Linked DNA regions of Schizosaccharomyces pombe. Changing the gene in region 1 together with any one later gene gives a genetic interaction. Each region holds a gene or a part of one and is shown on either strand. Other genes may lie near its edges.

Region 1 (3,820 bases):
CCCTAAATTTGATTTTCAAAGAAAAAGAAAGTGAGAGAGAAAAAGGATGGTCACTAATTTTGCAAAGAAGTAACCACTGTAAATATTTACGCTTTCAAACCCAGCTTCGAGAAGTAATAAGTTATGAACAGCAATTCAAAAGGACTTCAGGAATATGATTATGATGATGCTTTCAGAGATACAATGAAATTTTGTTTTGTATAGAAAGCAAAAAAAAGAATTTAACTTATTTCAATGACAAAATCAAGGAATCTGGGTTAGCGGTATATTGTTGAAAGAGACGGAGGTTGAGCTAGAGGTATAAGTGTAAACACCAACTTGATCAATTTACGTACTTTGGTTTCAGTACTTTACGAGAAATCAATTTTTAATAAGGTGAAAAATAAAGCATCTACTATTTGCTTGTGTAAACCTAAAAAAAAAATAGTTTTTTTTGGTATCTTTCAGTCATATTTATTTTTGCTAGATTAATCATAGTAAAATACTTAACCATATGTGATTGCCAAAATGCATAGCTGCACCTCACCTTAAAAAAATCTAGGTAATCTAATTAGCATGCAACTACGAGTTAATGTTTTTTAAAAAGTAGATAAATTACAACGAAGGTTAGTAGGTGAAGCAATAAATAGTATGTTTAATCGTCACTCGTATTAGCAAATTCATTCGTCTTAGAATTTTATTTTCCTCCACGAAAATATATATATTTTTCTTTGAACGTTTAAATTATTATAAACAATTGCTTTCTCTGAAATTTATGCCCATTTACAATTTAATTCTGTTTATGGAATCTACATATTCGTTCAAGTATATATGAAATACATTTTAAGGAATCTTTTTTTATTAGATTCTTCGTATAATTTCTAAAATACATACTATTTTCATATACGAGTTTAGATAAATTACAAAAAAAAAAAAAAAAAAAAACGATTAAACTATAGGTTAAAAAGTAAATCTATTAGTTTATAACAAAAGAAACGTCTTTGTTTTATTTTAGTTTATTTTTTTACATCTAAAAAGTTATTGAAATCAACAATGGTAAAGTTGAACAAATTAACTCTTCAATTCATAGGTATGAGAAACCGTTCTTCATTAGTAAATCCAAGTATGAAACATAATCATGTTTTTACCCCTATGCGATCGCGCTATTCATATTTTTCCTAAATTATTTTTAGCATCAATTCTGTCTATAGTTTCATATAATTTCAGTGATTTAATCATGTAATTATTCATGTAAAGTTCATAAAAAATATAGGTTGATGATCTTATTAATGTTTGTACTTAAGAAATGGTAAATCGAACAAGTTGAAAAAGTAAGCATGGCATCTGTCTTATACTCTTGTGCTTTTCTGTAAACCAAGCAGTTAAAAACATTATTGCTTGCTAGTAGCGAAGCAACTTACAAACATTTCTCATAGACGAGAAGTAACTCCATTTTTCAGATAGTCTAATAATAAGTCAAAGAAAAGGATGTTTAACATCATCCTAATCAAATTCATATAAAACTAATAATTGTTTTCCATCGAAGGAATCTATATATCGCACTACAAGGTGCAGTAACGAAACACTCAGATCGTGGAATCCGGATTGTGTTCTTAACCTTACGAGAAAAACGAGCCATTACGGTCGTGACTGTCCAGAAATCGTTCGATTTTTAAATATCTGAATTTAGTCTATTTTTTGATATAAATCCCCCTAATCCCATTCGCTGCTGGCACAGTGTTTTTGTGAAAACAAAACAACCAAGTTGTAAATTTAATTCGCAAGTTGAACAGTGTTTTGATTCTTCACTTGTGTTAATACCAATTCATCCAATCGGTTGTATCATATCTTAAATACCATTTTGGTTACTTTTTTTTTTGGACATTTTGAGCAAATCCGTAAAGTAAATAAAAAGATGTCTGACATTACCGTTGAGCCTATTGGCAAGCAGATGGAGAAGCTTATTCTCGATGTTCAGCAAGAAATTGTTGCTGGTCTCGAAGCTGTCGATGGACAAAAATTCTTCCAAGACAAGTGGACCAAGGGAGAAGGTGGTTATGGTATCAGTTGTGTTATTCAAGATGGCAACGTTTTTGAAAAGGGTGGTGTCAACACAAGTATTGTTCAAGGAAAATTGAATCAAGACGCTGTCCAAAGAATGCGTGCTAATCATGAAGGTATTGATCGTACTGCCAAAGAGCTTCCATTCTTTGCTGCTGGTATCAGTATGGTTATTCACCCTCGCAACCCCATGGCCCCTACTACTCACTTGAACTATCGTTACTTTGAACTTGTAAACAGTGATGGTAAGAAGATTTGGTGGTTTGGTGGTGGAGCCGATTTGACTCCTAGCATTCTCTTTGAAGAAGATGGCAAGCATTTCCACAAATTGCATAAAGAAGCTTGCGATCGCCATGACCCCACTTTCTATCCTCGCTTCAAGAAATGGGCTGATGAATACTTCCTCATCAAGCACAGAAAGGAGACTCGTGGCATTGGCGGTATTTTCTTTGATGATCTTTCTGAGAAAGATCCTCAAGAGTTATTTGCTTTCGTCAAGGATTGTGCCCATACCTTCCTTCCTGCCTATGTCCCTATTATGGAAAAGAGAAAGAACATGGAATTCACTGAAGATGATAAGGAATTCCAACTCATTCGTCGTGGATACTATGCCGAGTTTAACGTTATGTATGACAGAGGTACTTGGTTTGGTCTTCAAGCTCCTGAACCCCGTGTTGAATCTATTCTTATGACCCTTCCATTACATGCTTCCTGGCGTTACAAGTATGAGCCTAAACAAGAGCGTCACAAGGCTCTCCTTAAAGTAACGCATACCCCTATTGAATGGTGCTAGAAAGATTCACAAAAATGACTTTTACTTCAGCATTTAATGAACATCACAATTTTTGGTAATAGCTTTATTCTTTCGTTTGTTTTTAAACTATGCCATGTTACACTAACTCATGTTAAATTTTCTATCATGCCTTTTTTGCTCTTCATTATTTGGAATTCTTAACTGTTTGAATTTGCGATTTTGAATCCCTTTTCTAAGCTAATGAAACAATATTTTACCCTTTAAAAATCCGTATCTTTTATTGAGTAGTGTTTTATAAAGAGTTTTAAAGTAAAGTACAGTACCTATTTGGCTTGAGATCTAATTTCACAATATAAATTTCAACTGATCTGCACTTTCATTAACTTAATTTCAATGTATTTTTCTTTAAAATAATACGAATAAAAAAAAAGAAGATGAAGGTAAAATGTGTGTGTCTTGTCTTTATGATAAAACGACGTCGATCCCCAACGGATTGAGATAGACAAGTCATAAAACGTTAGCATCGGTACAAATTTTACAGTCGCTCTTTTCTTTCATTTGTATCTAATTCCCTTTTACACTCAAATACAGTGGGCCGATTGGGATCTGCTGATAAAGTGCAAATGAACCTGTTGGTTAATATCAAACTCACAGTAAGTGTATATAGGATAATAATCTAACAATCTCCCATCTTACGTACCCTAAAGATTGCATAGTAGCAAACAATTTTGTCTCCGCTGCAGCCAATTCAATGCAGGAGATATCCCCTGACTCCGTTTGTTGGCAAACTCGTTCAGTTTGATTGTTTAGACTTTCAAAGAAGACCTTCTGTTCTTTGGTTGAATCCTTCAAAAATTCTTGTACTTTTTCTTCCATTATGCTCTTTCAGAGGAAGATTCAGTCGTACTGCTATATCTAATAAGTTGAAGTCAGGCTAACGCTGTTTAAGAGCTGCATGTCATGAGTATTGCTGAGTAACTTTAACACGCTTGTAGACAGATATCAAAACTCACAAATGGCCCGTAG
Region 2 (3,929 bases), 390 kb from region 1:
AGCATTTTCGTCTTCATTGACGCGGTCATTCCAGCGCTTGGGGTCAAAGTCAGTAGCATGAGTGAAGTATTCCTCTTCAGTAGCAGTTAAACCGGGAGCAGCAAGAAGATAGTTGTTGGCAGGGATAACAATCTTTGAACCAGGGACGGGTAAGTCACGTTTGACTTTACGCATATGACTGTGGATAGGGGGATGGAGTCTAAGAGTTTCTTGAATAACATAGTTGAGAAGAGGCATGTCCTTATATTGGTCAAACTTCAATTCCAAGTTTTCACCTACAACACGCTTCTGCTCTTCCCACAACATTTCAATGATTTCAGGTTTGCTACCCAAAAGAGCAAGAACCCAAACGATAGTGGCAGCAGAGGTGTGTTGACCAGCCATCAAAAGTGCAATCATCATACCAGCAATTTCATGTTCCTTCAAAGGACGGCCATCTCTATACTTGCAGCTCATCAAAGTCCAAATCATATCAGTACCAGGATTTTCAGTGCTAGAGCGACGATCTTTAATAATTTTAAGATAAGTTTTTTGCATAATTTTGTGGGCTCTATCACGGCGTCTGTTTCTAGGGAGAGGTAACCAAGGGAAAACAAAGTTAACAGGGCTAAATCCTTGATCAAGGTCATGGTACAAGTCAGCGAAACCAGCGTCAAAGCCCTTGCGAACCTCAGCACCTTGTAAAGTACGAGAAGCAGTGTAAATAGTCATGACAGGCATGGTCTTCAGCAAATCAGCAACGCCTTCCTTACCAGGTCCGAAGTCAGGAGAAGTGCTGAGAAAAGCATCCATTTCGTTAAGAATGAGGGGGACATAAGAGCGGAATTGAGAGAAGCCAAGACCAGATTTGATAAACTTCTTGTGCTCCATAAAAACATGGTTGGGAATATCGTAAACGACATCTTTACCGAATACAGGGGTAGTTAAATGAGAGTAAGCTTCTTCAGCATTCAAATCAGCTAATTTACCGTTAAAGAGGAAATCATTACCTTGGACACCAAGGAAAGCGGTCATTTTACGACCCATGCAAACAAAGGTGAAAACATCACCATATTTGGCACGACACTCGCGAAAAAATACATAAGGGTCCATACCGTATGCGACAGCAGAACCTACAAAGGGTATCCAATGGAAGACAATTGGGGGGCGTTTGCTATTGCGAGAGGTAAGTTGGTTAATAATATAACCAACATACCAAGCCAATGCAATCGATAATAAAATCGAAACTAAAGAGAATGCCATCCTGACTTATGAAAAAAAAAGTAATGCTCAAGTGGGTAAAGCAGGTAAAAAATAATCAGACGAAAAAAATAAAATCAGTCAGTAAAGTAGTAAGGGGTAAGCAGATAGCAACCAAAAACGAATAAGACCAACCAAAAAACAACGACAACAACAACAAATGTGTAACAGATAAAAATAGTTCAACCCTTTGAGCTAATGCAAATAAACTTGAAAAAGAAAAGGAGAAAGAAAAAATGAATTGATTAACACGCAGCTACGAGAACAACGAATGAAACAAATAGAAAAAAGCGTTAAAAACGAAATCGAAAACAGACAATAATATGAAAGAAAAACAAAAAAAAATTACGTTTCCTTTCACTTAACGAATGAGATTGGGATTTTGAAAAGACAATTTTCAAAAACAACGATCGATACAGAAATTTTAGATCTTGTCTTTTTTAAGGTACTTCTACAAGTGAAGAATCGATTTATCTTCTCTTTGACACCAAATACGCTGGTTTCGACGACGATTCAAGCTAACTTGGGTCTCGCGCTGACTGATGGGAGTTGGTAGAATTATATATGCAACATAATGGCCGTGTAACCGTTTGTTTATGCTGAAAATCCGTAAAAAAACATGCTACTTGATCACTTCAAAATTACACTTTTTTATCCAATCATATTTTTCAGATACTACCTTATTGTTCTTTCTGGTCAAGGTGAATTAGCCACTAAGCCAATGAGAAATCCAATTTTGTTACCTGAGAATAGGGCGACATCGTACGATTCGAGGGTTTGTGAGGTGAATGACTGCGGGGCTTATGTTGCGATCGAACGATGGCACGTCCATTGGACCGAGATAATACACATGTTTACCGTAGCTCGTAACGCACATTTAACAAACTACTTGCTTCTACCCTACTTTATCACCTAAAAATAAAAATGTGTCAACATGTGCACGTCTACTATACCTTCTACTATTTGTTCGGTAAACCACCAACCGTGCCTCCTTATACGTCTTCTCCAAACATGTAATTGGATTCGAACAACTTTAGCTCGACAAGTCGTTTAGCTTACGAACATCCAAAAGCTTATCTAATGACCTAACTAACTCGCTCTTTTTGGTCGCATGACTTTGCATACGATTGTTTAGTAATAAAAACAATAATCCTTTTCACACCTGTTTTTACCCATGGGAAAGCGGTTCCCAAAGTTTGTCACTTACTCCCATATTCTAATCTAGATTAAAACACATTTAGCTGCGAACATGGCACACCGGTTAATACCCAGCCATAGTTGAAATTAGTAGACAAATTGACTGAGTATCTCTTATCAAAAGTCAATACACATTTTGTTTGCGCTGACATTAAACATCGTTGCTCTTATGAATGCTATGTGTGTGTGTGTGTGTATGTGGAAATGTGTTAGTCAGTCAGTGTTTGCTTGAAATTCGCTGTGTGAAAATAATAAAGTGAAAAATAAATAAAAGGTTGTAAAACCGAATTCGTACAGTAAGGTGAGCGCCGACAAAAGCTCTTGAGAAAAAAAAAATCATGCTGCTATCAGTATTCGAGTCTTTTCGATTTCGTGGCAAAAGGAAGTTTTCCTCACATGTTTTTGTGCGACAATAGCCAACCCCATTCACTTAATTCCTTAATTTCCTCAAGGGTCAAAAAGATTAGGATAGCTGAATAACGTTTTGCATTGCATTATGTTGCAATACGATAGTAAGACATTATAGGGTATATATCATAGTTGGAAAGTGCGGATGTGCATTTTAGCAGACTACGTTATCATTCAGTAAATGTTTGGGATCTAAACTCTCATTTCTCCAAAAGATTAGAAAGCATCTACTTCTTGCATCACAACAAACTTTTAAACTCCATATTTGTTCAAACTAATTAATAAATTTTTAAACAATGCCTCCCAAGGGACTATCGCTTGCAGAGAAAAGAAGAAGATTAGAGGCCATTTTCCATGACTCTGTAAGTTCGTGATATGATTGTTCAAGTGCCAAAACATGATTTTTGCCCATTCGTGTCTCACTTTCCACATTGCTAATCTATGTTTTTTTTATAGAAAGATTTTTTTCAACTAAAGGAGGTGGAAAAGCTGGGCTCTAAAAAGCAAATCGTTTTGCAAACTGTAAAGGACGTTTTACAGTCTCTCGTTGACGACAATATCGTCAAAACGGAAAAGATTGGCACTAGCAATTACTACTGGTCTTTTCCCTCCGATGCTAAACGTTCAAGAGAGTCAGTTCTCGGATCTCTTCAAGCTCAACTTGATGATTTGAAACAAAAATCTAAAACTTTAGATGAAAACATTAGTTTCGAGAAATCCAAAAGGGATAACGAAGGAACCGAAAATGATGCCAATCAATACACTTTGGAACTGCTACATGCAAAAGAATCAGAACTAAAACTTCTTAAAACACAACTTTCAAATTTAAATCACTGTAATCCTGAAACCTTTGAATTAAAAAATGAGAATACTAAAAAGTACATGGAAGCTGCCAATTTGTGGACCGATCAAATCCATACTTTGATAGCTTTTTGTCGAGACATGGGTGCCGATACCAATCAAATTCGTGAGTATTGCAGCATTCCAGAGGATTTGGACGATCTGCAACTACCGATTTTGTGAACTTGACATGCTTCCTTAATTCAAAGAGTTGTTTTCCTTATTAATATTTTAAAATTTTATAC

The links.
Region 2: of hem13 (region 1) and erg11, changing one suppresses a phenotype caused by changing the other (phenotypic suppression), as found in Schizosaccharomyces pombe (one study listed by BioGRID).

Annotation. Positions count from the first base shown.
Region 1 is NC_003424.3:964,536-968,355, forward strand, and holds hem13 (coproporphyrinogen III oxidase), read left to right. Parts: upstream 1-1,600; 5' UTR 1,601-1,894; coding exon 1,895-2,833; 3' UTR 2,834-3,056; downstream 3,057-3,820. Other genes in the region: SPOM_SPAC222.17 (uncharacterized protein), read right to left, coding at 3,330-3,423, 3,495-3,670.
Region 2 is NC_003424.3:575,381-579,309, forward strand, and holds the start of erg11 (sterol 14-demethylase), read right to left. Parts: upstream 1,774-3,929; 5' UTR 1,243-1,773; coding exon 1-1,242. Other genes in the region: protein Mcp7, read left to right, coding at 3,141-3,206, 3,301-3,867. UniProt on the Schizosaccharomyces pombe protein: Sterol 14alpha-demethylase that plays a critical role in the third module of ergosterol biosynthesis pathway, being ergosterol the major sterol component in fungal membranes that participates in a variety of functions.